Sus scrofa: one gene and its partners. The protein of the gene in region 2 interacts with the protein of the main gene of each other region in a pairwise test. Links are inferred from orthologs where the notes say so. Each region holds a gene or a part of one and is shown on either strand. Other genes may lie near its edges. The genes, in order: KIFC3, MTUS2, WAC, HCK, LNX1, TSHZ3 and PRPF31.

Region 1 (3,540 bases), on a different chromosome or scaffold from region 2:
CTCCGTGGGGTGTGGCTGGGAATGGGGGTGTTGAGAGGAGGAAGGCTCTGACTATAGATAGAAGTGGAAAGCAGGCCCCAGCGGTATCTTTGGTTTGTTAGCATTTCCCTGGCTCTTGGGGGGTAGTGCTGCTGTGGGATTCTCCCGGTAGGGGAGGTGGGCCGGTGTCCCAACAAAGACAGTAAGAGGGCCCTGCTGGCCCAGGCTTTAACATCCTCTGGGGGGGACTGACATGGTGGTCCCTTCTCCTCCAATCCAGACCTTCTTTTCCCTCAATTCTGGGATTGATGAGACTGGTTAGCGAGGGGCAGGCCAAGCCAGATTGGGGGTGGGGTGCAGCTCCTAGGTTCCCGCTCTGTCTTGGGTGCTTAGAGTTTTTGGGTTTTTGGGGGTTTTTTGTTTTTTGTTGTTTTTTTTCTTTTTATGGCCACACCTGTGGCATATGGAGGTTCCCAGGCTAGGGGTCGAATTGGAGCTGTTGCTGCTGGCCACAGCCACAGCCATGCCAGATCTGAGCCATGTCTGTGACCTACACCACAGCTCCCAGCAATGCTGGATCCTTGACCCACTGAGCAAGGCCAGGGATCAAACCTGCATCCTCGGGAATACCAGCTGGATTTGTTTGAGCTGAGCCGCAGTGGGAACTCCTTGGGTGCTTAGAGCTGAGGTAACCACCAGGAGCATCCATCCTCCCAGCCCTCCCTGCTGAGGCAGATGTGCATCAGGCACCGTGCCTGGAGCCGGGGCACAGTGGTGACCACAGAGTGCCTGCCCCCCACAGAGCCATCCTGCCAGTGGGAGCCAGCAGTGCACATAGCAAAGCAAGGGGTGTGCTGTCAGGTGCCAGGGAGAAAAATTGATCCAGGTATGAGGAACCAACAGTGAGGGAGGGATCAGACCTTCAGGGGGAGGAGAAGCCTCCTAAGCCAGTCCCAGGAGTGCGGAGAAGAGCACTCCAGGCCTAGGGAACAGCAGGCTGGAGGGTACTTGGAGATACTGAGGCCTGGCAAGGAGGCCCCAGTGGCAGAAGTGGAAGTGGGGGCTGGGGAGGGTGGGAGGTTCAGGGAAGGACTCCAGATTTCTTTTCTGAAAGGCCAGCCAGGCCATCCGGCCTCAGGTCACTTGCCCACTCTGCCTGTGCCTCCGCTGCACCACCCACAGAGTCTAGCTCATGGCCTCCCTGACCTTGAGCCCCTCCCCCACCCCCAAGGCAGTGGCAGGAACATCATACATTGCCAATGCCTCCTCCCGGGTGACACCAGGGCCAGGTACACATCAGCAGCCCCTGTGTGCAGGCCCAGGCCAGGAGCTTCCCCCAGGGCTCTGCTTTAAGTCTCAGGTCCAATCCTGGCAGGTGGGGCCATTTCAAAGGTGTGGAAACTGAGACCCAAGGAGATAAAGTTGCTTGTAGCTGGTGGAGGCCGTTTTGGGGGGCAGATCTGCATGCAGATGGGAGCCTCGGTCAGGGAGGCTGGCCTGTGAGGGGTAGCCAGAGCAGGTGGGGGCCCCGCCCACCACGTGAGCATCTGTATGGGGCAGCCCTCGTGGTGGGGAAGAGGCCTGGCTCACTGGGGCCTTGATTCCACCCCCAGGGGACCCCTGAGAACCCAGGCATCAACCAGCGGGCCCTGCAGCTGCTCTTCGCCGAGGTGCAGGAGAAGGCGTCCGACTGGGAGTACACCATCACCGTCAGCGCGGCCGAGATCTACAACGAGGTCCTCAGGTGAGGGGCCCTCGGGCGGGGCCCTTAGCAGGAGCGCAGGCCCTCCCGGGCAGCTTTTGGTCCTCAGGGCTGCGAGGAGGTATGTGGGCTGCGAGGTGGGGGCTCCCTGAAGAAGAGAGTCTGGAGCTGCCTGTCGTGACTCTGCCCCAGGGACCAGGTTCTGAGCACCTCGCAGGCAGGAGGGAGGAGGGCTCTGAGGCCCCCTGGCACTCTCAGACCCAGGCACTCCTTTTCCCCTCCGATTGTCCGCACCCTACCTGTGGGCTGTACCAGGTGGTGGGTGTCAAGTGCGAGTGGGGGAATTCCTCTCGTGGTGCAGCAGAAACAAATCTGACTAGGAACCATGAGGTTTCAGGTTCAGTCCCTGGCCTGGCTCAGTGGGTCAAGGATCCAGAGTTGCCATGAGCTGTGGTGTAGGTTGCAGACACGGCTGGGATCCTGCCTGGCTGTGGCTGTGGCGTAGCCCAGCAGATGCAGCTCCAATTCGATCAGACCCCTCGCCTGGGAACCTCCATATGCCCTAAAAAAAAAAAAAAAAGTGTGAGTGGAACCTTGGGGAGACCTGCCCCCCCCCAGGGGCTCAGTGCATTGTGGGGGCAGGAGTAGCACCACCAAAAGACTTTGGGGGAACATCCTGTCATCTCTCTGCCTTTCAGTGGACTGAGTGCCCGGGGGAGGGGGGGGCCTTAGCCCAAGGAACGTCTAGGAAAGCTTTGCATAGTGTGATGGTTGGAGAACATTCCAGGCTGGGGGTGGGGGCAGTGCCGGCAGAAGGCAGACTGGAAAGAGGGAGTGACCATCCTTCGTGCCCTCAGGGACCTGCTGGGGCAGGAGCCCCAGGAGAAATTGGAGATCCGGCTGTGCCCCAACGGCAGCGGGCAGCTGTACGTGCCAGGGCTGACGGAGTTCCAGGTGCAGAGCGTGGAGGACATCAACAAGGTGAGTTTCCGCGCCGCTGTCCCCAGGACAGGCTGGGGGCGGGATGCAGGCTGAGGGTGACGCCCCCTCGCCTGGGTACCTGACGACCACCCCTGGGCCTCTTGCCCGCTTCGCCCTCGGCCCAGGTGTTTGAGTTCGGCCACACTAACCGCACCACGGAGTTCACCAACCTGAACGAGCACAGCTCGCGCTCGCACGCCCTGCTCATCGTGACGGTGCGTGGCGTGGACTGCAGCACCGGCCTCCGGACCACCGGTGAGTGAGGGCCGCGGCCGCCCGGCCCGAGCACCCCCGCCTCTCGTCCTGGGGCGGCTGTAACCTGCCCGGTGCCCTCCCCGCAGGGAAGCTGAACCTGGTGGACCTGGCCGGCTCAGAGCGCGTGGGCAAGTCGGGGGCGGAGGGCAGCCGCCTGCGGGAGGCGCAGCACATCAACAAGTCGCTGTCGGCCCTGGGGGACGTCATTGCTGCTCTGCGCTCCCGCCAGGGCCACGTGCCCTTTCGCAACTCCAAGCTCACCTACCTGCTGCAGGACTCGCTCAGCGGGGACAGCAAGACCCTCATGGTGGTGCAGGTGAGGGCCTCAGGTGGCCACCTGCGTGTTAGGGGTTCCACTGGCTCCAAGAGCAGGGCCCCACCCCCTTCCCCTGTGGCCTGTAACTGCCACGGGCGGAGGGAAGGGCCCCTTGTCAGCAGCAGCTCCCTAGTCTGTGACATGTGCCCCTCCCCCCGTGCTTGTACACACCACCCTCGGTTGCCCTTCCGGCTCCCCTCCCTCTCAGTTTTCTCTGGGGAACCTTCTAGAGCCCCTTGCTTGTGAGCTCCCTTTGGTACCCCTTCCAGTTCTGTGAGGGCAGCCGGCTGGCAGGGTGGGGAGTGAG
Region 2 (4,231 bases):
CGAGGAGGGGTCTCTTCAGGGCACCCCCACACAGAGCCCTGCTTCCTTGGGGGCTGCTGATCATCAGCCCATAGGTCGAATTTCCCCAAGCGCAGCCAGCAGACTGGGTGACACTGTGGCATCCAGCCGCGTTTCAGCAGGTGATGGTCACGTGGCTTTGACTCCTGATGATTCGAGGGACAGCAGGCCCTTGGATCCCAGGGCGGAGAATGGGGTCCTGGGCCCTGGGAACGAGAACAGCCCTGGAGTTTTTAATTCAGACCCTTCCACTGGAGGGAGCAAAGTTGGGGTCCCTGAGCCCCTTCCCGGCAGCACCTCAGAAGCCAGCGAAGGCACAGAGATCCCTGCGTGCCCTGTCGAGACTAGGGACCGTCTAGAAAATGCTAAGACTGAAAGCACCCCAGCGAGAACAGAACCCCTTCTCAGGGTCCCAGTGCCCCTCCACCCAGAGACAACTGTGACTGTGTCCCGCCAGCCTCCACCCCCCAGCAGCCGCGCTCAGGACCCGGGCGCCTGGAGTGTGGACGCGGGGTCCTCCCCGGCTGCCCCGCCCCCCGCCGACAGCGCGAGGTTGTCACTCGCTGCCCCGAAAGTGCCTGACAAGGGCGCCTGCCCCACCGGGATCCCCAAGCCTGTGGCCGCCTCGCAGGAGGGGCTGGAGGGCCCCCAGCCGGAGAAGCCGGAGGAGAGGGCGGACCCCAAGGCCGTGATCGTGCCCAAGCCCAAGCCCGTGAGGCCCAAGATCATCACGTACATCAGGAGGGGCCCCCAGGCCCTGGGCCAGGTGGACGCGTCGCTGGTCCCCGTGGGCCTTCCTTACGCTCCGCCCGCGTGTGCCGTGCCGCTCCCCAAAGAGGAGAAGGGGGCGGGCGGGGACCTGAAGCCGGCGGCCGGCCTCTACGAGAAGTTCAAGCCGGACTTGCAGAGGCCCCGGGTGTTCAGCTCCGGGCTGGTGGTGTCTGGGATCAAGCCCCCGGGACACCCCTTCGGTCAAATGAGTGAAAAGTTTCTGCAGGAGGTAAGAGAAGGTCGCTGTGGCCCGGTCTGTGAGTCGCACGTCCTGGCGTTCGTTATGTGTGTTCAGTGAAGGGTCAGAACAGAGTGTCCTCTTAGCAAAGTGCAGGTTGTGGCGGATGGGCGTGTGTAGAAATGGACATCTGTAACTAGAGGAGGCGGGAGGCAAATGGCCAGTTCCCATGAGAAGAGTTTGATGATCAGAAGGAGAGGAAGCTGATGGATCCGAAGAGACCCATTTAAATTCTACCCGACAGAATAAATGCAGGAGCGTTAGAGGAGCATGCATGTAAGTGGGCTTCCTCGTTTAACCATGTGAGCGTAATTCGCCCGTAAACCAGGTCAATGGAAAAAAATCCAAGATAAACATATTGTTCAGATTGGTCAGCTTTGTCCTTTAAGGATGGCAGAGACTGGAGGAAGGCTGTCCTTCTCCCAGCTGATCGGAACAGCTCTGCCCTTCACTTTCTCTAGGTCCCTTTAAGGGGGACCATGTCCCCCACGGGAGAAGTTCTTTTTTGTCCACGTCAGCAGCACAGCGACTAGAAAATAAGGTGTTAGGTGCGGGCCCTGTCTTAAGTCAGAATAGCAGTAACAGCCAGCACTCAGCTGAGTCCCTGCTATGCCTGGGGCCCACATCACACCACGTTTTGTCTTGGCTGGTCCCCCCTAATCCCAGCAGTGGTCCCCTAGACGGTGCCTGTTACGGTTGTCCAGGCGGGAAGCAGACTCAGAGAGCTTGGAGTGACTCATCCAAGGCCGCGAAGCAAGGGCGGTGCTGACAGGCCCTCCCAGGCCCTCCTGCTCTCCTCACTGTGCTCCTCCGTACCGGGCGCTGGGGCGGGGCCTCCTCCCAGAGCTCAGACAGGAGGCTTGTGCCAGGGATCAGTTAGGAGTGGGACCCGATCTCTCCTCTCCTGACCCCCTTCAGGCCGCTCTGTCCCTGGGCTGGAGCGTGTAGGGTGGCTCAGCCGCTGGGAGGCACTCAGTCTGGCTCCTGCCTCCAGACCGCCTCTCCTCCTCTCCCCTCCCCCGCTGCCTCAGGGCCTTTGCACGTCCCTCTGCTCAGGCTGTTCTTCTCCCAGATGATCTGAGTAGCTCTGCCCTTCACTTCCTGTAGGTTTCTGTTCAAATGTCGCTTTATTGGTGACTTTCCTTTGCTCCGGTGGTTCAAATAAAGTAATTAGGTACCCCCTCCACACGCACACAAAAGGTCCCTTGGATTTTTCTCTGCAAAAATACATTTGTGAGAGAAACTTTATTTGGAGACATAGGCAGAAATCCTGTTACTAGCTGCAGGCCTTTCTCTGTGGCCTTTCTTAATTTTTCTTGTATATGTTTCTTTTCTTTATTGCTTCCACTCCCTCCATGAAATATAGAATAATTTCTATGTTAGAGGCACATTTTCCCCCAAATGTTTTCTGTTCTCAGTTCTCTAGAAGCCACCCCGAGGCTCCAGGAAATGGGAGGGAATGGGTGTTTGTGTGGCTTTAGGCGCTCGGAGGGGTTGGAGAGACCCTGTTGGTGTGGGGACAGCAGTGTCACTGCGTGCCACCTGCTGTTGCTGAGGGCCATTTTCTGCCATAATCCAAGGCCCAGGCCCTTTCCTCAGGCTGCCGGGTAGAGCAGAGAAGCCCGAGCCCCTGTTAGTGGTGAGCTCATTTCTGGGGAGATGTCTAATCAAACTCGGAGAGTAGGGTGGTCTTTGGCCTTTGCTCCTAAAGCTATGACCTGATGGAACCCACAGGCTCCCCATCTGTGTTTAGCCTCAGAAGTGGCTCTGAAGATCATCCTGGGTCAGTCATGCCAGGGTGATAAAGTGGGCCTGCTTGTCCAGACTGCTGTCTGCTGTTGGCTCTCCTGAGGCCTTGGGGGCACCTCCTCCTATTGACACCTTCGGGGAGCCCTGGCATCAGGGACTGGTATAAGGAGGAGGAGGAGGAGGGCAGCAGGGCTGAGGACCAGGTGAGGCAGTGTGCTTGCAGGATACAGGTGTGCGGAGGGGTGGGGGGGGCTGGACTCCCCTCCCCTCACTGGCACCACCTCATCACTGTGGGCCGCTGTCCGCCAGCGCTCTCCAGAGAAACAGATCGTCTACACAGGCATGGGTGTGTGTACCTGGTTTTCTATCTATTGAGACTGTAAGGAATTGGGTCCCACAGTTATGGAGGCTGGCGTATCCAAAATCTGCAGGGTGGGCTGGCAGGCTGGAGACCTAGGGAAGTGTTGATGCCGCGGTTCAAGTCCAAAAGCTGTCAGTTGGCAGATTTCCCTCTTCTTTGAGGGAGGTCAGTCTTTTTCTGTTATGGCCTTTGACTGATTAGATGAGGCCCACCCACCTCAGGAGGTAATCTGCTTTATTTAAGGTCTACTGAATTCAATGTTGATCTCATCCAAAGAAAAAAAAATTACCTTCAGAGAAACATCTGGAATAATCCTTGCCCAACTCTCTGAGTTGCGTTGCCTATCAAGGTGACACCATGAGCCATCCCCAGCCCTCTCCCTGCACCTGTCCCAGTGAAGCTTCAGCATTTGCCTGGTGTCTCCCCGGCCCATGGTCCCCTGAGAACAGGACAGGGCAAACGGGAAGGGGGACAATCTAGTGAGAACTTATTAGTTCCTTGTGTGACTTGAGAGATTTTAGAAGTTTGAAATCACAAAGATGCTTTAGTTTGCTTTCAAAATTATTTCTCTAGAAAGACTCCTTTAGAGAAGGAGAGAAAAGCCCCATTTGGGTTGAATCTGTCTGCATTTGTGACTGCAGTGAATCCTGCTCTGTCCTGTCAATAGAGATGAAAGCAAAGCATGTGAAGCTTTTTGTAGACTCTCTTGTTTTATTAAAAGTGCACAGATGAGGCATCTGAGGCATACGTCTCACCTTTGTAAAGAATTTGTTATCTTACTAGAGACAAATTACCCAACAAAATGATAGACATTGAAGCTCTTGAAAACATTAAAGTTATTTTTGAATGACAGCGGGGTGGGTTTTTTTTTTTTTTTCTTTTTTTTTAGGGCTGTACCTGTGGCATTTGGAGGTTCCCAGGCTAGGGGTTGAATTGGAACTGCAGCAGCCAGCCTACACCACAGCCACAGCAATGCCAGATCCTTCACCCACTGAGCGAGGCCAGGGATTGAACCTGCGTCCTCATGGATGCTGGTCAGATTTATTTCTGCTGATCCACAATGGGAACTCCAACAGTGGGATGGATTTGACCCC
Region 3 (4,231 bases), on a different chromosome or scaffold from region 2:
TTGAACGTGCTTAATGAGATTTTCATTGAAGTGTGCTGCCAGCGTGGGTGTTAATGAACACGCAGGTCGGGCAGATGGATTCTGTGGTACAACTGTTGCAGTTGATGCATTACTACTAGAAGTATGATTTGGACCAGGTGATGGACTTCTCTGGCTACTAGAAAACACAATTGAATGTACTGTATTTTTAAAGTGGTTTCTACGGAATCCAAGAAATTGTCTATCAATACCTTTCATTAAAGATATCCAAATTTATTATTTTAACATCAAATAAACAGAATTTAAAATCCAAAGTATATCAGGTATTCCTAATACACTTCTGGGGGTTAAGAGCCCTTTAAACACTAAGGTCAGAGTTGGATTTAAATACCAATCAATGCTCTCCCACATTTGACAGCAGAATCAACGCTGTGTGCTGCAAATACACTAACGGAACTAAGAAGTGGTCACATTTCAAAAGTCATAGAAATAAAGCATATTTATGATATCTTAAATGCATGACAACATGGAGAGGAAAAAATACAATGCGTTTTACTGTTTAATATCAGAATAAACTGTTGAATCAGAGGGTGAAATAATGTGAAACAAAATACAGACATTCCATTGCATAACAATGAATGAGTTTAGTAGCAAAGTAAGACCAAAAAAGCAACACTCTAAGACTGGTTATCTTCTACAACTGTATGGTTTGGGCTGTGGTTTAAGGACTCGATGGTGAGAACCAAAAATTTAATCACTAAGCTCATTTCCTACCTGCTTCACACCAGACTTGGCTCTGAATCAATTTCAGTTATTCAGAAAAACTAAGTCTCCCAAACAATGAAGTCTTTTCATCACTGAGGATATTTAAAATAATACTGCAGCCTCTAAAGATAATTTAAAAGAAGAACTTCCCAAAAAAATATTCTGAGCAATGGCAACATTGCTGAAGTAGACAGTTTCCCAAAGTGATAATTTTCAAGGGAACAACCCTCATTTGGACGTCAATGTTCTGAAATGCTTATTTAGAAAACAACAATAAAAACAACAGTTGAATTATTTTACCACCTTGTGGCAAGAGATAAAAATAGGACAATATGAAAATTATTTAAAGTTCTGTTACTCAACAAAGGAGAGCGACAATACAATACAGGTCTGACAAGCAACACACAAAGGGTCAGAATTGACGCTATAAGGAGAGACAGGCAGACAGACATTCACAACAGATGGAAAACACTGACCCAAGTTTTAGATGTGAGATTTTTGTCTTCATTAATATACTCAAACGTAAAACAGCTACAAGGAAGTTAAAAACGATATTTCAGTGAGTTAATAAGTATTTTAAAATCATGTGCACTCTTTGTATAAGTAATCACATACTGCTCAGATCATATTCCACCAAGGAAAATTCTAAACAAAGTCACTTCTTTAAAACCCAGGCTTCACTACTACAGACAATCTAGTTATTGCAGTAAGATATCTGCCTTTGTAAATTTTATAATACATAGAACTAAGGCTATCCATGGATTCTTCCAAGACCAGGTTCTACTATACATACATTTATAATATCTCAACAATATGGCAATATAATGTATTAAGGAAAAAACAATGTCGTCTCAACACACATCAACTTACTTTGAGCGCTGAAGACTTCGAGGGGAAACAGGTTCATGACCTTGCTGTTTGTCAGCAGTTACAGGCTGCTGCGTGGCTGATTGTGAAACTGGTCCTTGCTTAACTACTGGAGTACTAACCTAAAATGTCAAAATCTGATTAGACAGCATTCTACCACATAGGCAAAAAGCATGAAAACTAGATACAGGCAAAAGTTCTACCAATCAAACTTTATCTCTATCCAGAGATTTTTAAGATAACCGGAGTTGACCTGATTCATAATAAGATTAACATTAGCGATTCAGCCATAGTATCTTTTAGGGGCCAAGTACACCCAAATCTTAAAACACCATAAAATCTAGAGATTTAAAGAAGCAGAGTCAAAGGAATCTCCAAAGGTCATGTAGTTAGAAAAAAAAAAAAGAGTTTTGAGACTTGGGTCTAATTCTTTATAAAACATTTCAGGGCCATAAAATTACTTGATTAGCAAACCAGCATAAGAAACTAGTTCTCTTGATTTGAGTTCAGTGTTACTTCCAGTACACTATAATACCTCTTCATATCTACTGTTGCTTCTGTTATCAATAAAAATAAATACATTATGGAGTTCCTGTTGTGATACAGCGGAACGAATCCGACTAGTATCCATGAGGATGCAGGTTCGTTCGATCCCTGGCCTTGCTCAGTGGGTCAGATATCCAGTGTTGCCGTGACCTGTGGTGGTAAGTCACAGATTCGGCTCGGACCCCACATTGCTGTGACTATGCCTATGCCGGCAACTGTACCTCAGATTCGACCCCTAGCGTAGGAACTTCCATACGCCAATAATTAATATTCTCCTAAACAAATGTGGACAGCACTGCTACTTCTGAAAAGAGCATATTCTTTTATAAAGAACATTTTTATAAGGGCGAATGTTCACTTATTTTTAGAAACAACTTGAAAGGTTTGAAATGCAAAAATAGCCATCTGCTTAAGGGATTTGAAACAATTTTATAACCAACTGTAAACCTAACACTGCCACTTATATCTCACTTCTTAGTCATCATTCACTGTACTCTAAGATAGACCCAAAGATAAGTTGTAAACTCTAAGAATAAGGTCTCTTGCTAAAATTCACATTTTAATTCTCCTCCAATCAAATTACAGGCAAACAATAAAAAACTTCATACAAACAATTTTAACTCAAAATTTTAAAAATCAATCTAAGCCAACAACCCAAATGGAAAACGGGCAAAAGACCCGAACATTTTTCCAAGGAAGATGTACTGACGGCCAACAAGCACATGAAAAAATGCTCAACATTACTGATTATTAGAGAAATGCAAATCAAAACTACCATGAGATACCACCTCACACCAGTCAGAATGGCCATCATTAATAAGGCCACAAATAACAAACAAATGCTGGAGGGGGTGTGGAGAAAAGGGAACCCTCCGGCACTGTTGGTGGGAATAAAAGCTGGTACAACCACTATGGAGATCAGTATGGAGGTACCTTAGAAATATATATATAGAACTACCATCCTATGACCCAGCAATCCCACTCTTGGGCATATATCTGGACAAAAATTTCCTTGAAAAAGACACATGCACCCCATGTTCACTGCTGCTCTATTCACAATAGCCAAGACATGGAAACAACCAAAATGTCCATCGATAGATGACTGGATTAGGAAGATGTGGTATAGATAAACAATGGAATTCTACTCAGCCCTTAATAAGAAGAAAATAATGCCATTTGCAGCAACATGGATGGAACTAGAGACTCTCATCCCAAGTGAAGTAAGTCAAAGAGAAAGACAAATACCATATGATATCACTTCTATTTGGTATCTAATAAAAGGCACAAATGAACCTTTTCACAGAAAAGAAAATCATAGACTTGCAGAATAGACTTGTGGTTACCAAGGAGGAGGGGGAGGGAGTGGGGTGGTTGGAGAGCTTGGGGTTAATAGATACAAACTGATGCCTTTGGAATGGATAAGCAATGAGATCCTGCTGTGTAGCACTGGGAACTATGTCTAGTCACTTATGATGGAGCATGATAATGTGCAAAAATAGAATGTATACATGTATGTGTAACTGGGTTACCATGCTGTACAGTAGAAAAAAAAATTGTATTGGGGAAATAATCATTAAAAAGTACTAATAATAAAAATCAATCTAGACTGAACCTAAAACTTGCATAAATAAGTGGTTGAAGCAGGGAAGTGATGAGCCAATGGGAATACCACAGAGATGGCCTACTATCAATTTCAAGCTACATTTCAATACATTTTTATCTTTAGGATTCTGCTAAAGATTTTATTTGAATAGAATTCTTTGGCACAAAAGATTGAAACAGCCCATTGTTTTACAACTAAACTACAACACTGTTCCCGTCGTGGTGCAGTGGTTAACCAATCTGACTAGGAACCATGAGGTTGCAGGTTCAGTCCCTGGCCTTGCTCAGTGGGTTAGAGATCCGGCGTTGCCGTGACTGTGGCGTAGGTAGCAGACGCAGCTCGGATCCCTCGTTGCTGTGGCTCTGGCGTAGGCCAGCGGCTACAGCTCGGATTTGACCCCTAGCCTGGGAACCTCCAAATGCCACAGGAGCAGCCTTAGAAAAAGACAAAAGACCAAAAAAAAAAAAAAAA
Region 4 (4,231 bases), on a different chromosome or scaffold from region 2:
CTCTCAGGCCCTCTAGCTTGTCACCAGGGAGAAGCAGAAAGTTTTCTCCCATTAGTGTTTGGTTGTTCTCTCTGAGCATCAGGTGGAAGGCTGTTATCAGTGATTCCTTGCTCCCCTCCTGTGGGGTGTTGGTTCAGCTGTAAGTCAGTAAGTGAGAAAGGGTTCCCAGGTCAAGTCAGGTTGCAAAACACTGGGCCAGATACTCCTTCCCTTGTAGGACTCCTCAGAGCCTTTAGGAATCTTTGTAATGGGCTTCGTGAATCTCTCCCCAAAAGACATAATTCTCAGGGTTTCCTAACCCTGTTTCTTTAAGTTAATGTTTACCTATGTGTGTGACACATAAATTCATTTTCCTTGAAAATAAAAATCACAAGTTACAGCTAAAGCGATGGTTTCTGCTGACCAAGAACTACCACACCCCACCCCAGAGGCAGAGGCTCTTGTCAGTTTGGTGTGGACCCTTGCAAACCTTTTTTCATGAATTTCCATTCCAGGGTGTTCAGTATGTGTCCAGATGAGTGAAGGATGTTTTATGTCCATGTGTCCTGTTTAGAATTCTGAAGAACTAGCTTTGTTCACTAACGATATATCTCTGGTTCCCTGGTGGCTCAGGGGGTTAAGGATCCAGCGCTGTCATTGCTGTAGCTCGGGTCACAGCTGTGGCGTGGGTTCAATTCCTGGCCGGGGAACTTCCACGTGCCACATGCACAGCCGAAAATAAAAAGTAAAATAATACATCTTTGAGGTCTAATTGTGCCAGGAACGAAGCAGCATCCTCTTATTAGGGCTGCCTGAGCACCGCAGCACAGGCGCCATCTCCCCTTTGGATGGATACTTAGGTTGTTTAATATACACAGTGGAGCCTTTATTTGGGGCCATGTCGGTAGACCAAGGGCTTCTTCAAACATGCCTTGGAAAGCACTGATTTAGACCAACCCCCTCACTGTATGTTGAGTGGAAGGAACAAGTCAGTGTCCTGCAGTATGTCCAAGGCTAAAGGCAGAGCCCACAAGCTGAGAGACCTGCATCTGTTTTTTTTTTTTGTTTGGTTTTTTTGTTTGTTTGTTTTTTGTTTTTTGGTTTTTTTTTGCTTTTTAAGGCCCCAACTGAGGCATATAGAGGTTTCCAGGCTAGGGGTGCAATTGGAGCTGCAGCTGCCAGCCTACACCACAGCCACAGCAACACCAGATCCTTAACCCACTGAGCAAGGCCAGGGATTGAACCTGAAACCTCGTGGTTGTTAGTTGGATTTGCTTCCGCTGCGCCACAATGGGAACTCCCAGACCTTCATTGTTATGCTGGCTGTGCACCTAATATGCTGTGTTACTTCGGGCACTTCCACAGCCCTCTCTGGGCCTCCTCCCACAACACACAGGGCTGGGATATCCTTTGGACATGGACCTTCATGGCTCCATACACACTATTGGATTCAACCCCCTGTCCCATTTCTCCCCACAGTGGCCAGACAGCAGCCAAAGCAACCCACCCGAGGCCACAGAGGGTAAGTATCTGGCAAACAGGTGCAGTGGTCTTGTAGTATGAAGAGAATTAGGTTAGGTTCTCAGTCAGAGCTTGGGGCAAAAATCCCAACCACCCTTGAAAATCCCCTAAACTGCCCCCAAAGTACTTTTATAGGCTATTGTGTTTCTATAACGCTGTTTCGTAACGTGAACAAAATCCCATTAGCTTTTTCTTTCTTTTTTTTTTTTTTTTTTTCCTTTTTACAGCTGCACCTGTGGCATACAGAAGTTCCCAGGCCAGGGGTCAAATGTGAGCTACAGCTGCAGCCTACCCCATAGCCATAGCAACACTGGATCCAAGCTGCATCTGTGACCTATGCTGTAGCTTACAGCAAAACCAGATCCTTAGCCCACTGAGTGAGGCCAGGGGTCAGACCTGCATCCTCACAGAGACATCATCAGGTCCTTGACCTGAGCCACAATGGGAACTCAAAAACTTCGCTAGCTTTAAACTCTAGAATCACACCCAGCACACCAAGATGCTTACTTATATATACCGTGAGACAGACACATGAGGGGGTATAGGGCTGGGTACCAGGTGTTGGGGTGGGAAACACCCAGGGCTGTGGGAATGCTCACGTAAAGCCTTACCATCCTATGTGTCTCTCTTCCCAGCAGGTTCTGAGGACATCATTGTGGTTGCCCTGTATGACTACGAGGCCATTCACCATGAAGACCTCAGTTTCCAGAAGGGGGATCAGATGGTGGTCCTGGAGGAGTGAGTCCTCATTCCACTCCCTGCCCCAAGACATACCCATCTCTAACACTCAATTCTGCTCTCTTTTGTGCTTCAGTTAAAAACTTGATAGACTACATTATACTAGAGTGTAAATGACTAATGAGAACCTATTACCAATAAAGGAAGAAGGGTTTCCTGCTAAGCTGGGTTAAAGCCACAATAAAGGGGCTTGTGCACTTGCCAATGTCACACATCCAGGCAAGAATGGACAGCTGAAAAGGCTTTCTCGGGGAAGCCTTCCTCAGGCACCTGTGACTAAACTGTAGACTTACCTATGGACCAGACGTTGTTGAGGTGACTTTGCATTCAGAAATCCATGGATCGCTGAGTTGATGACCTCCAACCTCCTGCAGTGTTCACCAGCCGTGGCTGTAGTGTCCAGTATATATTGGGGCCCAAGGATGGGAGTGGTTATGCTTGGTCAGATTCCTGAGCCCACTCCCTCTGGCTCTTGGCCCCAATGGGCTACTGCGAATCTGCCATGAGCACAGGGCCCCATCTCACATATGGAGAATTAGGCAAAAGACACAAGTCCAGAGAATAAAGGTGAGGCTAGAGCTGTGGGCTATGAATGTGGGGACAGGGCTTGATTCCAGCCCTAGATGGACCCAGGGATTCAGAGTGGGGGCTGTTGTGAGGACACTTACCTTAATCATGGGGTGCAGACTGGGGGCTGGGACTCTAGTGACCCCGCCCCTCATCCCACCAGCTTTCTGGGGTTGGGGGGATTCTAGGCCAAGGCTGGGGGCCCAAGAGGACCAGGGGTGGTTCTCCTGCCCCCTGACCCCTTTGTTGCCCCTGTCCCCCAGGTCTGGGGAGTGGTGGAGAGCTCGATCCCTCGCCACCCGGAACGAGGGCTACATCCCAAGCAACTATGTTGCCCGCGTCAACTCTCTGGAGACAGAGGAGTAAGTATTCTATTTCCCTGCCCACCAGAAGGAAGCATGGGCAGAGTCAGCTTTGTTCCTACCTTGGGGCTTTTGCAGTCACTGTCTCTCCTGCCTGGCATACTCTTCCTAGGCTTTTTGCTGGCTGGCTCCTTCTCATCCTTCAGGTCTCAGAGAGGCCTTCCTGGGCCACCCTGTCTCAAGCAGGTCCCCTCTGTGACTCTCTCTCTCATGGAAACTGGTTTTATTCCCTTTTGAACACTTCTCATGAGCAAAAACGATCTTATTTCTTTGGCTGTTCACAGGTTCACTGTCTGGCTCCCCCACGAGAAGGGGAGCGCACGAGAGCAGGGACCTTGCCTGTCTGCTGCATCCCCTGCACAGGCTGGCATGCAGTCAGTGCTCAATGAATGTTTGTTGGATAAAGTATACAGTTGCTTTAGAGAGGGTCCTCTGAGAGCCAAGCCAGCTCACTCCAGGGCGTCATCTCTCATGTGACTCATTCAGCAAACATGTGCCTGTGCCGCACCTAGCTTTGTGCCAGGCTGGGGGCTGCAGAACAAATGAGACACCCCCAGCCCTCAAGGAGAGCCCAATAACCCTTCATTCTTGGCTGCAGTTTCTTTGTGTCTAACTTGACTCTGAAAACATAGAATTATACTTCATTTGTCCATCCATCTGTCCATCCACCCGGTCATCCCACAGACACTTGCTGGGGACCTCCCGTACCCCCAGCCCTATTCCAGGGGTACTAGGTGACTCAGGGAGGGCTCCTCCCTGGAGATGTTCACAGTTTGGGGTGAGACCGACAAATAAAAAGATGGCTCTACTCTAAGGTGGCAAGAGACCCAGTTCAGAATCAGCCAAACAGTTGAAAACTGACCCCATGTTTTTTTCTCCTTTGCTTCCTCCCTCTAGCTAGATGGTACTGTGGGTTTGGGATGCTGGCCTGTTAAAAATTAAAACGTTTGGGCTTTTCCCATCTTAAAGTCACCCCTTTCTTAGTGTGCATGAAACCTCTCTGTCCTGTGGAATCTCCCCTCTGTGGCCACAGTGAAGCCCCCACGGCCATCGCTGACCCTTCT
Region 5 (4,231 bases), on a different chromosome or scaffold from region 2:
CCAGATTCTGAGGGCCCCTTCCGGCAGGTCAATGGGATGGACATCAGCAACGTGCGTCACAGCTACGCCCTGCGCCTCCTGCGGCAGCCGTGCCATGTGCTGCGCCTGACAGTGCTGCGGGAGCAGAAGTTCCGGAGTAGGAATGACACGCCGCCCCTGGACACCTACGGGCCCCGGGATGACAGTTTCCATGTGATCCTCAACAAAAGCAGCCCCGACGAGCAGCTTGGCATAAAACTGGTGCGCAGGGTGGATGAGCCTGGGGTGTTCATTTTCAACGTGCTGGATGGTGGTGTAGCGGACCGCCACGGTCAGCTGGAGGAGAACGATCGGGTATTGGCCATCAATGGACATGATCTTCGGTACGGCAGCCCGGAAAGCGCCGCGCATCTGATTCAGGTGGGTTCCTCGGGGTTCCAAAGTCCCGGTGGGAAACTGCCAGCATGAGCAGGAATGCTCATCACCCTGCCCCATCTACCTGGTTACTGCCCCATGTGACATAGGGTGACTCCCTTTCAAGGAGTCAAGGGTGAAGGGTCAGGTAAGAACATTACTCCAGCAAATGGGTCTCTCAGGGTCATGGCCATTATTACATTGGTGTTGCCAGACATCCAGTCTGACTGCAGGTAAATACACTGGGCTCTGTGTTGCAAGCTCACCAGGTTAAGATCACTCAAGGCTGGCCGGGTTGTGTCATCCTTGTACCCAGTATGGTAGTCGCAGACCCAGGGGTCACTCAGACACATTCTGGACACATCCAAGGCATCTAGTTGTACTAATTCCCATAAGAAGCTGTGTGGTGGCACCCTCCAGGCATCTTGTGGACTAAGGTTGGCCAAGCCTGAGCCTCATCTTCATGGCTAAGCCCAGACCCCTTGGAAAGCCCAAGGGAACTCAAATATGAAGCTAGAGAAGCCCGCCATAAAAGAGGCATTACAAATGATTATTACTCAGGCAAGTTCACAATAACCTGAACTTGGTTCAAATTAATTCACTCTCCTGATGGATGTGATTGCTACCAAGTGCCAGCATGCATCTTGTTGACTCTGACTGGGTCACCATGAGGTTGTCTAACATTCACTGAGCTGCCAGTTTTATCCCTAGAGGGACAGGCTTTGTCCTGGACTCTTATATTCTGTTCCATTTATCCACTTCATTTAGCCAAAATGTATTCTGTTTTTGCTGCTTGCCTAGCCCTGGGTTAAGTGCAGAGAACAGAGGGGTGATAACCTCTTAGGCTGCTCTCCCAAAGGAGCCCACCATCTAGTAGAAGAGGTGACTTTTTCTAAATAACTGCTGTGTGGCGTGATGATGCGTGATGGAGAAATTAAGTATAGCGCTGGTGCAGACAAAGGAGAGATTTTTTTTTTCCTTGGGTGGGGGTCTAAAAATCATTCACAGAGGAGAAAAATCTTCAACAGGGATGTTGAGAGGTCAGAAGTTCTCTAGGTGGATAATGTGGAGAGGGTCATTCTAAGGAGATACAACACAGAAAAATATTTCCCCAAAATTCCAGTTGGGCTACATTTTATTTTATTATTGAAATATAGTTGATTTACAATGTGTTAATTTGTGCAGTATAGCAATGTGATTCATTCATTTATATATATGTGTGATTCATATACTCTTTTCTGTTATGGTTTATCTCAGGATGTTGAATATAGTTCCCTGTGCTATATACTAGGACCTTGTTGTTTTCCAGTCTATATATATAATATTTTGCATCTGCTGATCCCAAATTCCCAATCCATCTTTCCCCACCCCACCCCCCTTGGCAACCATAAGTGTGTTCTCTTTTTTTTTTTAACTTTATTTTATTTTTCATAATGATTTTTAATTTTTTCCATTATAGCTGATTTACAGTTTATGTCAATTTTTCTTTTTTGGTCTTTTTTTTTTTTTTTGGTCTTTTTAGGACTGCACCTGCAGCATATGGAGGTTCCCAAGCTAAGAGTCTAACCAGAGCCACCACAGCCACAGCCACAGGATCTGAGCCGTGTCTTCGACCTATACCACAGCTCACAGCAACACTGGATGCTTAACCCACTGAGCAAGGCCAGGAATCAAACCCGCAACTGCATGGTTCCTAGTCAGATTCGTTTCCGCTGCTCCACCACAGGAACTCCTGTCAATTTTCTACTGAACAGCGAGGTGATCCCGTCACACATACATTGTATATTTTTTTCTCAGATCATCATGCTCCATCATAAGTGACCAGACATAGTTCCCAGTGCCATACAGCAGCACGAGTCTGTTCACTATGAGTCTGTTTCTGTTTCATAGATAAGTTCATTTGTGTCATATGTTAGATGCCACCTGTAAGTGATATTATATGGTATTTGTCTTTCTCTGTCTAATTTACTTCACTTAGTAAGAGAATCTCTAGGTCCATCCATGTTCCTGCAAATGGCACCATTGTCTTTAGAAGTGGCAATAGATAAGGCAGGAGTGGTAGGAGACGCCCACATCATGTGGAGTTTTATAAGCCAGGCTAAGGAGCTCAGACTTTATCCCCAAGGCCATGAGGTATTATTGGAAGTGTTTGAAAGAAAGTGACATGATTTTCTAGAAAGATCTCTCTAGAGGCAGTGGAGAGCTGATAGGAGAGGGGTAAGGTTAGAGGCCTTGTCTTAAGATGCGTTCGCACTTATCCGGCACATCATGTCAGCTTCTACTTAGTGATGAAAGTATTAATATTTCAAGTATAGACCAAGCGTCAGTAGCAGTGGTTGACTGGACTTTGTACCAAGTTCAGTGAAGGATGTTAGAAGACAGAGGCTGCCATCAAGGACTTGATGAGCTAAGTACAAAAATATCTCTCTACACTTGGGTCCCAGTCATGATGTTCTTCCAGGTATTGGCAACTCTTTTCACCATCGTGTGTAGTATCTTTTTTTATTTTTATTTTTTGCTTTTTATTTGTTTTTTTAGGGCCTCACCCATGGCATATGGAGGTTCTCAGGCTAGGGGTCTAATCAGAGTTATAGCTGCCGACCAACACCACAGGCACAGCAAGGCCAGATCCGAGCCACATCTTTGACCTACACCACAGCTCACGGCAGTGCTGGATCCTTAGCCCACTGAGCAAGGCCAGGGATTGAACCTGCAACCTCATGGTTCCTAGTCGGATTCGTTTCCGCTGCGCCGCAATGGAAACTCCTGTGTGTAGTGTCTTATCTGTCTTTTTTTGAGGGGAACCAAGTAGCGAATGAAAGTACTGTTATTTTAGATGTGGGAAGCCTGAGACAGAGGGTGCAAAAGGACTTACCTTGCTGCTTCCACCTGCCAGGATGGGAAGCACACATGGTGCTTTGGCCCCTGAGCTGAGGCTTTTGATGGTATCTCAGTTCCAAGGTGATTCTCAACCTGATGAACATCCATCTGCCTTATGAGGCCTGAGGTCATGCCTTGTGGAGCAGGTGAAGAACAGAACCAGAGTTAGAAGAGGCATTTCCTTTCTGGAGTTTATGCCATCTATTTCCAAGTTCACATGCGCGGGCCCAGCTTCTCTGATTGCCACACTTATATATCCAACTGCTCACTTGGTATCCCCATGCAGATGTCTAAAAGGCATCTCAGATTTAATGTCCAAAAGTGAACCCTTGGCTTCTCCCCACTCCATCCCTTGGCAGATCTGCTCTTCCCTCAGTCTTTCCCCATCTCTGGAAATGGCACCATTACTTGGACCAAAAAGAGTCTTCAACTCGCTTCCACATCCCCTCCCTGACTTCCATCAGCTTTGGTCTGGGCCACAGCAAGAGCCTCTTAACTGGACTCCCTGCTTCCACACTCGATCCCCACTCTGCTCGCCACACAGCAATGTCAGTCCCACCATCTCACCTTCTTGCTCTCAGCCCTCCAAGTCTTCCCAAGACACTCAGGTTACAATTCCAAGTCCTTGGAGTTCCCGACTTGTCTCAGTGGTAATGAACTTGACTAGGATCCACGAGGACACAGGTTCCATCCCTGGCCTTGCTCCGTGGGTAAGGAGGGTAAGGATCCAGCATTGCCGTGAGCTGCAGTGTAGGTTGCAGATGCGGCTCGGATCCACAGTGGCTGTGGCTGTGACATAGGCCAGTGGCTACAGCTCGGATTGGACTCCTAGCCTAGGAATTTCCATATGCCGTGGGTGTGGCCCTCAAAAAACCAAAAAAAAAAAAAATCCCAAGTCCTTACAGGGCCTGCCAAGCAATGCTAATCTGGTCTTTGGTTCTCCTTCCAACCTCATGTC
Region 6 (5,005 bases), on a different chromosome or scaffold from region 2:
CGTGGAGGTGTTTTATATATTACACGGATGTAATACATCTCTCATTTGTATAATTCTAGGTTAGGAGCTACGATTCCGCGTAACTGCAGGAGTAGACTGCAATATAGTAATAAAGGTATTTTACAACGTTACATGATGTTCCCGGGGTTTTGTTGGCATGATTTGCCGGGGCTAATAAAAGCTTGTGATTATCATATAAATGCTCTCCCCACTCCTCCCGTGGATGGGTTCACCCCCCCCACCCACCCAGCCCTCCGCCCCTCGTGCTTGAGCACAAGAGAGAGAATGACCCTAGCATTCACCTGCCTGGCTGGGCTGCAGTTTTTGCTCCTTGAAAATCCCCAATCAACAGGATGGAATCACCCGCCCTGTGCCGAGTCTTCCCAAAACCTTTTTTTTTTTTTTTTAATTCCCCCCTCCCCGCCCATCTGCCTCGGGCAGGGCTCAGGGCCCCGACGTCGGCTTCTCTCATCCAGATGGGAGACCCAGCTCCGGGGTCCCCTCCCGGGTCACCCAGTGGGACCGAAGCTCCACTCGCCATATCGGATATCATCGCCGTGCCAGTGGGAATCTAACCTCGGGGGAGCGTCTTCCTTTCTCTTCTGTTTTTATTCTTGGGGGAAATGCTGTCCACACCGCCTCCGAGGGAGTGCTCGCTGCTCTCCAAACCCAAAGTTCACTAAACTCCCCTGATTTACGGGCCGCTTCCGACTGCCAGCACCTGGCAGACACAGCAACCAACTCAGTCATAAACAGATCGCATACAATTTAATTTTAATGTGCTCGTTAGTCGTAGCACATTGCAGACATAATTGTGAACGCAACACAAAATTATAGCAAAAAGACAATTTTAATGCTGCCGTAGAAAAGAGGGTTATATGAAGAGTCACATAATGGTGGTTCATTGTCAACAACAAAACAGGGCACAGAGTGTGTGACAGTGTCTGTGCTGTTTACATGCCAATATTTTATACATAGGTTTTCATATGGTGTCAGCTGTCAGTTACTTCTGCAAATTAACTGCCAAAAATGGAGAAGAACAGAATCACTTGGAGAGCCGGTAACCACGGGTTACCTTTCATAAGCCTAAAGATAAAGCTGCAGTGTGGGATCTTGGGAGAATAATTAGGAAGAACAAAACAGAAAGTTACCAATTGAAATAAAAAGGCATCCTACAATATGGAGTAGCAACCAAGAGGGCTTATAAATAAGTAAAAGAGGTTGTGTCACAGAATGCCTCGTGACTTTTAAGCAAAGTATTACAGTACAAACATTTTAAAGGCTTTATCAATGTTTAGGAAATACAGTACAAGTTCTCTCTCTCTCTCTCTCTTTTTTTTTCTTTTTTTTGTTTTTTCCGTTTCAAATAGACTTAACCCTTTGAGCACTGAGTTTATTTTGAGCGGGTTTGGTTTTTGTTTTTTTTTTTTTTGATTTCTAATAAATACCTTTAAAAATCATCATGTGCAAAATAGTTATGATGCCTGCCATGGATGTATTTCCTGGCCTCATTTATTCAGACTGCTCAAAACAAATGATAATATGATGCTAATAAATATGTATAATTTAAACATGAACCTCTATCAATATAAATGTACTGTATAGCAAAACAAACAATCATACTTTGCTTTCAGATAATGTTTCTGTATACTTTATAAATGCTATCTGTGGTATCTTCTGTATAATTTACAATGTTTGCATGTAAAAAAAAACAAAACCCATAGACCTTAAAAAAAAAAAAAAAGAAAAAGAAATATACACTATACATAGGCACGGCTTCTGCCCAGAGCATAGCAGGTACATAAAACACTGTTGCTATAAATGCAGGAAAAAAAGGTCATTTAACCACAATCACATTTTTCATAAGAGAGTCTGAAATCTATACAATATATACATCTATGTTTCAATGTGAAAATAATATTCTTTTAAATTTCAAGGCGTGTTATACCCCTGCAGACCTGCATAAATGGAGGTTCATATTATTAATTATAACTAAGCTGGTAAGGAGTTTAAAAAACAGAGCTTCATACATTATTATTATTTTATTTTATTTTTTTTTAACCAAATGAATGCAAAAGTGCTTCAAAGTACTCAGAGGGCTAAAGATGAAAGGGTGAAAAAAATGCCGGCACACTCAAGCCGTGTGGAAAAGTGTGCCCGATTTCGTCGTAAATGCTTAATTAAACTGTCTGTTAATGCATGCAGCTTGAAGCATCGGGCGATGCTCACAACTAAATCCCATTGACACAAAGTTCCAAACACTTACCACTGCGTTTTAACCTTCATATTTTACCAGTAACAACAGCTGATTATGCACCTCTATTAAACACTGTACAGTTATACAAAAAACAGTCCAGCCCAGAGTGTGATTCTCTGCAGTTAAAGGGAGAACATGTGCCAAGAACAAGACAGAGGGGCCTGAAGGTGCCTGCAACCGTTTGCCTCCAAGCAAATCACAGTCGTCTGAATCCAAAGCCAACGCTACTGCTTCTCTAGCTCGGAAACGTACAGGAGGTGATCCTCGGGGGACTTCCCGTGTGTTTTGCTGAGGTGAAGTTTAACCGCATGCTTGCTCGCAAAGGTCCGATTGCAGAGTTTGCACTGGTAGGAGGTCCCCAGGTCCTCCTCCGGGGAGGACGTCCCCAGTTTTTCCGACGGTGACTTGGTTTGTGCTATCTGATTGTGAATCTGTTCAGTGGACAGTTTGGACAAATCCCGTAGCCGGAAGCCCAGGTGGGACTCGAGGTGGCTGATGTAGGTGGAGGGAGTCCTGATTTGTGACGCGCAGTCATTGCAAAAGAACACGGGGTGGCCGGTGTCCAAGTTTTTGAGGAACTTTGTTCCACCTGTCCTTCGCAGCTGGTACTTGACGTTGGCCAGCCAGTGGCTGATGGTGGTCATGGAGAGCCCGGTGAACCGGGAGATGTGCATGCGCTCCTGGGGGCTCAGGTCCGACATGACGTACTTGCCCTCCGAGGTCTGCCGGAGGCTGGCGGCGAACTGGGCCTGGAGGATCAGCAGGTGCTGGGGGTTCCAGTTAGACTGGCGGCCCTTCCTCTTCTGCGCAGGCGTCGCCTCCTCGGCCTCCTCCAGGGTGGCGCCATCCATGTCCGACTTCTCGGAGATGCTGGAAGGGGTGGAGGACTTGGACGCGTGGCTCTCGGTCAAGTTCTTCAGCATGTCCGATATATCGGACAGGGCGTTCTCGCGGAGCGGCGAGCTTGACATGAACGAGACGACGGCAGAGGTCTTTGCCGTGGTCGCTGTGGAGGAGGAGGTGGCCGGGGATGTGGACGTGGGTGACAAAAGCACGGAGCCCAAAGAGCCGCCTTTGTCACTCTTGCCTTTCGTCAAGTCAATGGGCTGGTCGTTGTTGACGTGGTAGAAATAGCGGTCCAGGTGGTCCGCCTTCTTGGACTGCAGGGGCGGCGGGGTGGCCACGGCCGCCTTCTCGGCCAGGCTGTTGCTCATCTTGAACAGCATGCTCATGGGGTCCAGGGCGGGCAGGGAGGGCTTGGCGGCCTTGCCCAGGTGGATGTTCATGACCGACTGGAGGGCACTCAGAGGGTTGACGAAGGGCTGTTCGGGCGGGTGGTCGGTGATGATGGCCGTGCTGCTGCTCAAGCTGCTGCTCATGGGCTTCGCCAGGTCCTTGCCATTCTCCAGCGGCTCTGCAGGGGGGCTCCCGTCCTTGCAGCCCTCCCGCTGGGGGCTGGGGCTGTCCTCCTGGCTCTTGAAGCCCCCGTCGCTAGACGCCTCCATCTTGATGGGCTCGCTGACGTCGCTGCTGCACGGGGACGGGGTGGCCCGCTTGGGCGGGGACAGCTTGCCCTCGGGCTCCTTCATTTTCTCCTCGACTTTGGCAACTTTCTCGGTGACTTTTTTCACCAGCTCCTCCATGGCATGGAAGTTGGTCTTGGGCATGGGGGAGGTCTGGCTGCTGGGTGGAGAGACCAGGGTCTGGCTCTTGCTGGGGGACACGATGTCGCTGTTGCCATACATGGGCTTCAGGGGCCCGCTCTTCCCCGCGGAGCCCAGAGACAGCTTCATCATGTTGGGGAGCTGGTAGGCGGCGTGGATGCTGGGGTAGCCCCCCCAGCTGGGGGTGCCGTTCTGGGCCTTGTTGATTGCCGACGTCACTGTGTTCTCCAGGGACTTGAGGATGTCGAGTCCCCCCTTGGGACTCTCTTCCAAGTCATTCTCCGTCAAATAGTGGTACTTGGAGGAGATGTCATATTTCTCCTCCTCCTCGCAGGCCTTCTCCTTCTCCTTGGGCTTCTCCTCGGCGACCCCCTTCTCCTTGTCCGCCTCCTTCTTGACCTCGGCGGTGAGTTTCGGGGAGGTGCTGGCGGGCGTGTTGGAGGGGGACGTGAAGGTGGTGGCAGCCAGGGGCACGGACTGGACCTTCTCGTCCAGCAGGGTGGTGATGCTGGGCGTCACGGGCGTCTCCATGATGGGCTTCCCCTTCTTCATGGCCGAGTTGGTGACCTTGATGAAGTGGCCAGTCACCATCATGTGGGCCGTGAGCTCCTGCAGCGTGTCGTGCGAGCTGCCGCACTCCATGCACTTGAGGATCTGGGACTTGCGGGCCTCGAAGTGCCAGGCGTAGCTGGCCCCGTTCTGGTGGCCGTAGCGGTTATTTGGCGTGATGTACGGGTTGGAGTTCTTCTGAAGCACGTCGTTCGTGTCGGCCAGGGCAGCTTTGGGGGTGCCGCCGGTGGAGTCCGGGGAGCTGGGCAGCTCCAGCTCCAGCGACGCCTTCTTCCGAGCGGCGGGGATGATTTTGGCGGCGACGGGAGTGACGGGTTCCTTCAGAGGCACTTTTTGGTAGTGTTTCGTTTTGATCATATGGACGCTCAGGTCCTGGAGAGACTCGAACGAGTGGCCGCAGTACATGCACTTCAACACCTTCTGGGCGTCCTCCTTCCCTTCCATCTCCAGCAGCGAGCGTTTGCGAGGCTTGGACCAGCGCTTGGGGTTGTTGTTGTCGGTCTCGTGGTTGTCA
Region 7 (4,192 bases), on a different chromosome or scaffold from region 2:
GAGGGTAGGTGTTTCTGTCTTGTGCACCTTCGTCTCCCAGGCTCCCGGCCTGGCACAGCGTTGAGGGATCTGGTCTCGCTCTCTCTGACCCCCGGTCTGGATGCCGGGGTCCAGCAGTGCACCCGCAGACAGAAGCCCTGCCCCGCGACGTTTCCATTCCCGTTGGAGGCGGGGCAAGGAGACGCAGGCCGATCTGCTGTGTGTCCAGTGGTGCTGAGCAGAGGCTGGGGAGGTTGGACTGACTAACCACATGTCAGGGAGGGCTTCTCCAAGGAGGTGAGGGTTTAGCCTAGACCTGAGTGCCATCAGCCGGGAGTCCCGTGGAGCCTGGGGGAAGGGTGTCTCAAGCGGAGGGAACGGTCAGGCCCAGGCTCTGGGGCTGGAGCACGGTGGGCCCCGGGGAGCGGAGGCTGGCTGGACAGCGCGCTCTCGCGAGAGCCTGGCTTTGGCAAAGGCGCCGAGAGGGGGCCGACTTGGGGTCCCTCCTGCAGGAAGAGCCCGGTGGGATGCTCAGAGGTGGACGGAGGCCAGGGCATCGCCGCCTCCGGACCTGAGCAGAGCTGGCTGGAGGCTGGGGAGGGGGCGCAGCAGCTCTGCCTGGGCAGTTGCCTGTGGGCACAGCGCTGAGAGGAGAGGTCTGAGCGCAAGATGCAGCCCCAGGGGCCAGGGCCTCCAGGGCTGGCTCCAGGTGGGGGTGGCCCCTGGAGGAGGGAGGGCGCCCCGGAATAGCTGCAGGACCCCCGCCTCATCCTCCCCAGGTGGGCTACGAGCTCAAGGATGAGATCGAGCGCAAGTTCGACAAGTGGCAGGAGCCGCCGCCCGTGAAGCAGGTGAAGCCGCTGCCTGCGCCCCTGGACGGGCAGCGCAAGAAGCGAGGCGGCCGAAGGTGGGGCCCAGGGGCCGGCAGGCCAGGGTGAGGGGATGGGCTCGCCCCCTCCCAGCTGACCCCCTGCCCTTCCACAGGTACCGCAAGATGAAGGAGCGGCTGGGGCTGACCGAGATCCGCAAGCAGGCCAACCGCATGAGCTTCGGGGAGGTTGGCCCGCGAGGCCCTCAGGGCCCCCCTCCCCCCGCATCCCTTCCCCTCAGATCGGGGCCACCCCCAGTCTCTGCCCTGGTCCCCCTCCCTCCTTCCTCCTCCGCATCCCTTCCTCTCAGATCTGGGGCCACCCCTCAGTCTCTGCCCTGGTCCCCTGGCCTCCAGTCTCGTCCCACCCCATCCACCCGGCTTCACACAGATCTGCTTCTCTCTCAGCACCAGCCCCTCACCCTGGGGCTTCGCATCCACCTCCCAGGCTCATCCCTCCCCTTCCTCCTTCCCCTGCCCTGCCGTCCGTAGGGCTTCCCTGCCAGGCTCTGTCACCCACGCGTCACGCTACTGATGCTGCAAGAACCAGCTAAGATGCTATTTGGTCAGTGAGGCCTATTTTGGTTCTTGATAGACATCACACACACAGACACACACACACACACACACACACGGCCCCTCTCCCGGGTACCTGAGGAGGTGCCCAGGGGAGCAACTGCTGGGGTGAATGCCGGGCATCTAGCTGGCTGAGGAGCTGGCTGACCCCAGGATGCCCCCACCCCCAGATCGAGGAGGACGCCTATCAGGAGGACCTGGGCTTCAGCCTCGGCCACCTGGGCAAGTCAGGCAGTGGGCGGGTGCGGCAGACGCAGGTGAACGAGGCCACCAAAGCCAGGATCTCCAAGACACTGCAGGTACGGCGGGGCCCCGAGGGGTCAGGGTGGGGCAGCCGCCGGTGCTCAGGCCCTGACCCCAGCCGGCCCTGCTTTCCCTGCCCTCCCACAGCGGACCCTGCAGAAGCAGAGCGTGGTGTATGGCGGAAAGTCCACCATCCGAGACCGCTCCTCGGGGACCGCCTCCAGCGTGGCCTTCACCCCGCTCCAGGTATCGGCTCCACTCCCTTCCCCTCCTGGGCCTCAGCTTCCTTGCCTACAAAATGAGTGTGTGCTGGGGCCCAGGGCACCACGGAAGCCTCCAAAGGGTGCAGCTCCCTTGCCGACACGCAGCGAGGTCACCAGGGCCCAGTTAGTCTCTGACCTCGAGCAGGCTCAGCCCCTCCCTCAGGCCTGGGTCCTCACCTGCAGGGGACTGGGTGGTTGGGGCCACCTTGGCGCCCCACGTGAGAAGGCTCGGATCCCAGCCCAGCCGCCAGTGCACGTCCCTCACCTGTCCACACCTGAGTTTACTCGCCCAGCAGGCAGGGCCCATGTGTCCCACGGAGCATGAGCGTGAGGAGTGACAGCTCATTCACTGCTGAGAGAGTGCCTGCTAAATTCCGAGCCCTACTGCAGGCGTTCGGGTGGAGCCACAGGAGACAGGGAGTCTTGCCCTTGTGGGGCTTATGGGGCAGCAGGGGACAGATAAATAAGATGCATAGTCTGTTGGAAGCGGAGATGTTCTGGGGAGAAAAAGGAGGGAGAGGGGACCCCCAGGGAAGGCCTCTAGGAGGATCATTCAGAGCCAAGCCTGCCACGTGTGGGGTCCCGAGCCGGTGGCAAAATCCTCGGAGGGTTGGTGTGATCCGTGCTGGGAGTGCAGGCAGGCCATTTACTCTTGGGACTGTTTCCTCATTCAGGAACTGAACAGGACCGGCTTTTCTCAAACGGTGGTGTTTTTAAAATCACCTGGGGAACTTGTTAGAAATTCAGATGCCCAGGGCCCCCCCCCGCCCCTCACTGCACCCACAGAGTCAGTCTCTCGACCTGGGGACGTGGGGACTGTCCTCACGTTCGCCCAGAGCCCAAGGACCAGTGAGAAGGGGTTGGGGGGACATCGTCAGGGGCCAGGCCATCTCCCCACCCCAGCCCGTCTCCCTCACTGTCCAGGGCCTGGAGATCGTGAACCCACAGGCAGCGGAGAAGAAGGTGGCTGAGGCCAACCAGAAGTATTTCTCCAGCATGGCCGAGTTCCTCAAGGTCAAGGGCGAGAAAAGCGGCATCATGTCCACCTGAGGGGCGGCGCCCTGGGTGGTTGCCCGCTGAAGGGACACAGAGGCCCCCCCCTTTCTGAAGGGGTCAGGATGGGGCTGGGAGGTGGCGGCAGGGAGAGCCGCCAGGCCGTCGCCGGTGCTGGGATGTCAGGAGGCCCAGCCCCCAAGCACGGAGAATGCCGCCTCCCTCAGACACCAGAGCCAGGCTTCGTCACGCGTCCTTTTTAACTGGGAAAGGAGATACTCTGGGGGGAAAGTGCGATTAAAAGCACATCATCAGGACCTGTCCTTGGCTAGTGATCGTTTGTCAAACACCTGGGCCACTGAGGTGTCAGAGCTGCAAGGTTTGGGGGACAAAGCTCAGGCCCCGTGGAGTCCAGGTCACGCGATCCCAGGAAGAGAACCGCCCTCTCCACGTCCAGGCCCCGTTAGAGAACCTCGGTGGTTCTGGCACCAGAGCAGTGTGGCTGCTGAGAGCCCCAGCTTTCAACGCAGGCCCCCTGGGTGGTCGTGGCATCTTGGGCGGCTGGCCTCTGCCTTCCAGGCTTCCAGACTAACACCACCGGACGCACCCGCAAGCACTGGGGACTTGTGTATGCTGCATGGGACAGCACTTAGCACTGGGCGCACCGTCAAGGCCCTGTGATGGGGCACTGCTGTTATTTCTGTCTAGTGTTTGCCAAGGACTCCCTCTCCCACCCTAGTGTGCCAGGCCGGGGCTGGGGTGGGGCAGACAGGCTCTCTGCCCTAAAAGCAGAGTGCTGCTGGGGGCGCCTGTCTACCTGTGCTGGAATCTGGGTTTCCCAGTGGGCTCTTACCTTGGAGGTTGGCACTTCTCTTTCTCTTTTTTTTTTTGGTTGCATCTATGGCACGTGGAAGTTCCTGGGCCTGGGATCGAACCTGTGCCATGAGCCACAGCAGTGAGAACACCAGATCCTTCACCCGTTGCGCCACCAGGGAACTCCCAGGACTTCTTTTAGTTGCCCAGGAGGTGGGCGCACAGGGCAGAACCAGCCCTGTGGGGAGTGAGGCCTCTTGGGCTTCTCTGTGGGTCTCTTTCTGGCACACTGGGTCCTGAGACCTCTCTGGGACTCCCCTGTCATCACCTGGGATTCTGTGTATCTTTGGACCCCAGTCCCTCCCTCAGCCCAGGGCTTTGTCTCTGGACTGCAGTGGCCCTCTCTCAATTTCTCCCTTCCCTCACCTGAAAGAGTCTGCATACCTGGGAGTTTCAT

Evidence for each region.
Region 1: the proteins of MTUS2 (region 2) and KIFC3 interact in binary tests that used the Homo sapiens proteins (3 or more experiments, as listed by UniProt). The link is inferred for Sus scrofa from reciprocal best matches to the Homo sapiens genes MTUS2 and KIFC3.
Region 3: the proteins of MTUS2 (region 2) and WAC interact in binary tests that used the Homo sapiens proteins (3 or more experiments, as listed by UniProt). The two-hybrid records come from large-scale screens. The link is inferred for Sus scrofa from reciprocal best matches to the Homo sapiens genes MTUS2 and WAC.
Region 4: the proteins of MTUS2 (region 2) and HCK interact in binary tests that used the Homo sapiens proteins (3 or more experiments, as listed by UniProt). The two-hybrid records come from large-scale screens. The link is inferred for Sus scrofa from reciprocal best matches to the Homo sapiens genes MTUS2 and HCK.
Region 5: the proteins of MTUS2 (region 2) and LNX1 interact in binary tests that used the Homo sapiens proteins (3 or more experiments, as listed by UniProt). The link is inferred for Sus scrofa from reciprocal best matches to the Homo sapiens genes MTUS2 and LNX1.
Region 6: the proteins of MTUS2 (region 2) and TSHZ3 interact in binary tests that used the Homo sapiens proteins (3 or more experiments, as listed by UniProt). The two-hybrid records come from large-scale screens. The link is inferred for Sus scrofa from reciprocal best matches to the Homo sapiens genes MTUS2 and TSHZ3.
Region 7: the proteins of MTUS2 (region 2) and PRPF31 interact in binary tests that used the Homo sapiens proteins (3 or more experiments, as listed by UniProt). The two-hybrid records come from large-scale screens. The link is inferred for Sus scrofa from reciprocal best matches to the Homo sapiens genes MTUS2 and PRPF31.

What each region holds. Positions count from the first base shown.
Region 1 is NC_010448.4:19,662,147-19,665,686, reverse strand, and holds part of KIFC3 (kinesin-like protein KIFC3), read left to right. Parts: intron 1-1,592; coding exon 1,593-1,723; intron 1,724-2,538; coding exon 2,539-2,662; intron 2,663-2,787; coding exon 2,788-2,917; intron 2,918-3,003; coding exon 3,004-3,233; intron 3,234-3,540. UniProt on the Homo sapiens protein: Minus-end microtubule-dependent motor protein. Involved in apically targeted transport. Required for zonula adherens maintenance.
Region 2 is NC_010453.5:6,199,048-6,203,278, forward strand, and holds part of MTUS2 (microtubule-associated tumor suppressor candidate 2), read left to right. Parts: coding exon 1-1,018; intron 1,019-4,231. UniProt on the Homo sapiens protein: Binds microtubules. Together with MAPRE1 may target the microtubule depolymerase KIF2C to the plus-end of microtubules. May regulate the dynamics of microtubules at their growing distal tip.
Region 3 is NC_010452.4:40,012,795-40,017,025, reverse strand, and holds part of WAC (WW domain-containing adapter protein with coiled-coil), read right to left. Parts: intron 1,734-4,231; coding exon 1,615-1,733; intron 158-1,614; coding exon 1-157.
Region 4 is NC_010459.5:35,728,629-35,732,859, forward strand, and holds part of HCK (tyrosine-protein kinase HCK), read left to right. Parts: intron 1-1,458; coding exon 1,459-1,501; intron 1,502-2,135; coding exon 2,136-2,238; intron 2,239-3,068; coding exon 3,069-3,167; intron 3,168-4,231. UniProt on the Homo sapiens protein: Non-receptor tyrosine-protein kinase found in hematopoietic cells that transmits signals from cell surface receptors and plays an important role in the regulation of innate immune responses, including neutrophil, monocyte, macrophage and mast cell functions, phagocytosis, cell survival and proliferation, cell adhesion and migration.
Region 5 is NC_010450.4:40,262,021-40,266,251, reverse strand, and holds part of LNX1 (E3 ubiquitin-protein ligase LNX), read left to right. Parts: intron 1-12; coding exon 13-399; intron 400-4,231.
Region 6 is NC_010448.4:41,344,635-41,349,639, forward strand, and holds the end of TSHZ3 (teashirt homolog 3), read right to left. Parts: coding exon 2,482-5,005; 3' UTR 832-2,481; downstream 1-831. UniProt on the Homo sapiens protein: Transcriptional regulator involved in developmental processes. Functions in association with APBB1, SET and HDAC factors as a transcriptional repressor, that inhibits the expression of CASP4.
Region 7 is NC_010448.4:55,994,140-55,998,331, reverse strand, and holds the end of PRPF31 (U4/U6 small nuclear ribonucleoprotein Prp31), read left to right. Parts: intron 1-758; coding exon 759-886; intron 887-963; coding exon 964-1,036; intron 1,037-1,593; coding exon 1,594-1,722; intron 1,723-1,813; coding exon 1,814-1,912; intron 1,913-2,853; coding exon 2,854-2,979; 3' UTR 2,980-3,245; downstream 3,246-4,192. UniProt on the Homo sapiens protein: Involved in pre-mRNA splicing as component of the spliceosome. Required for the assembly of the U4/U5/U6 tri-snRNP complex, one of the building blocks of the spliceosome.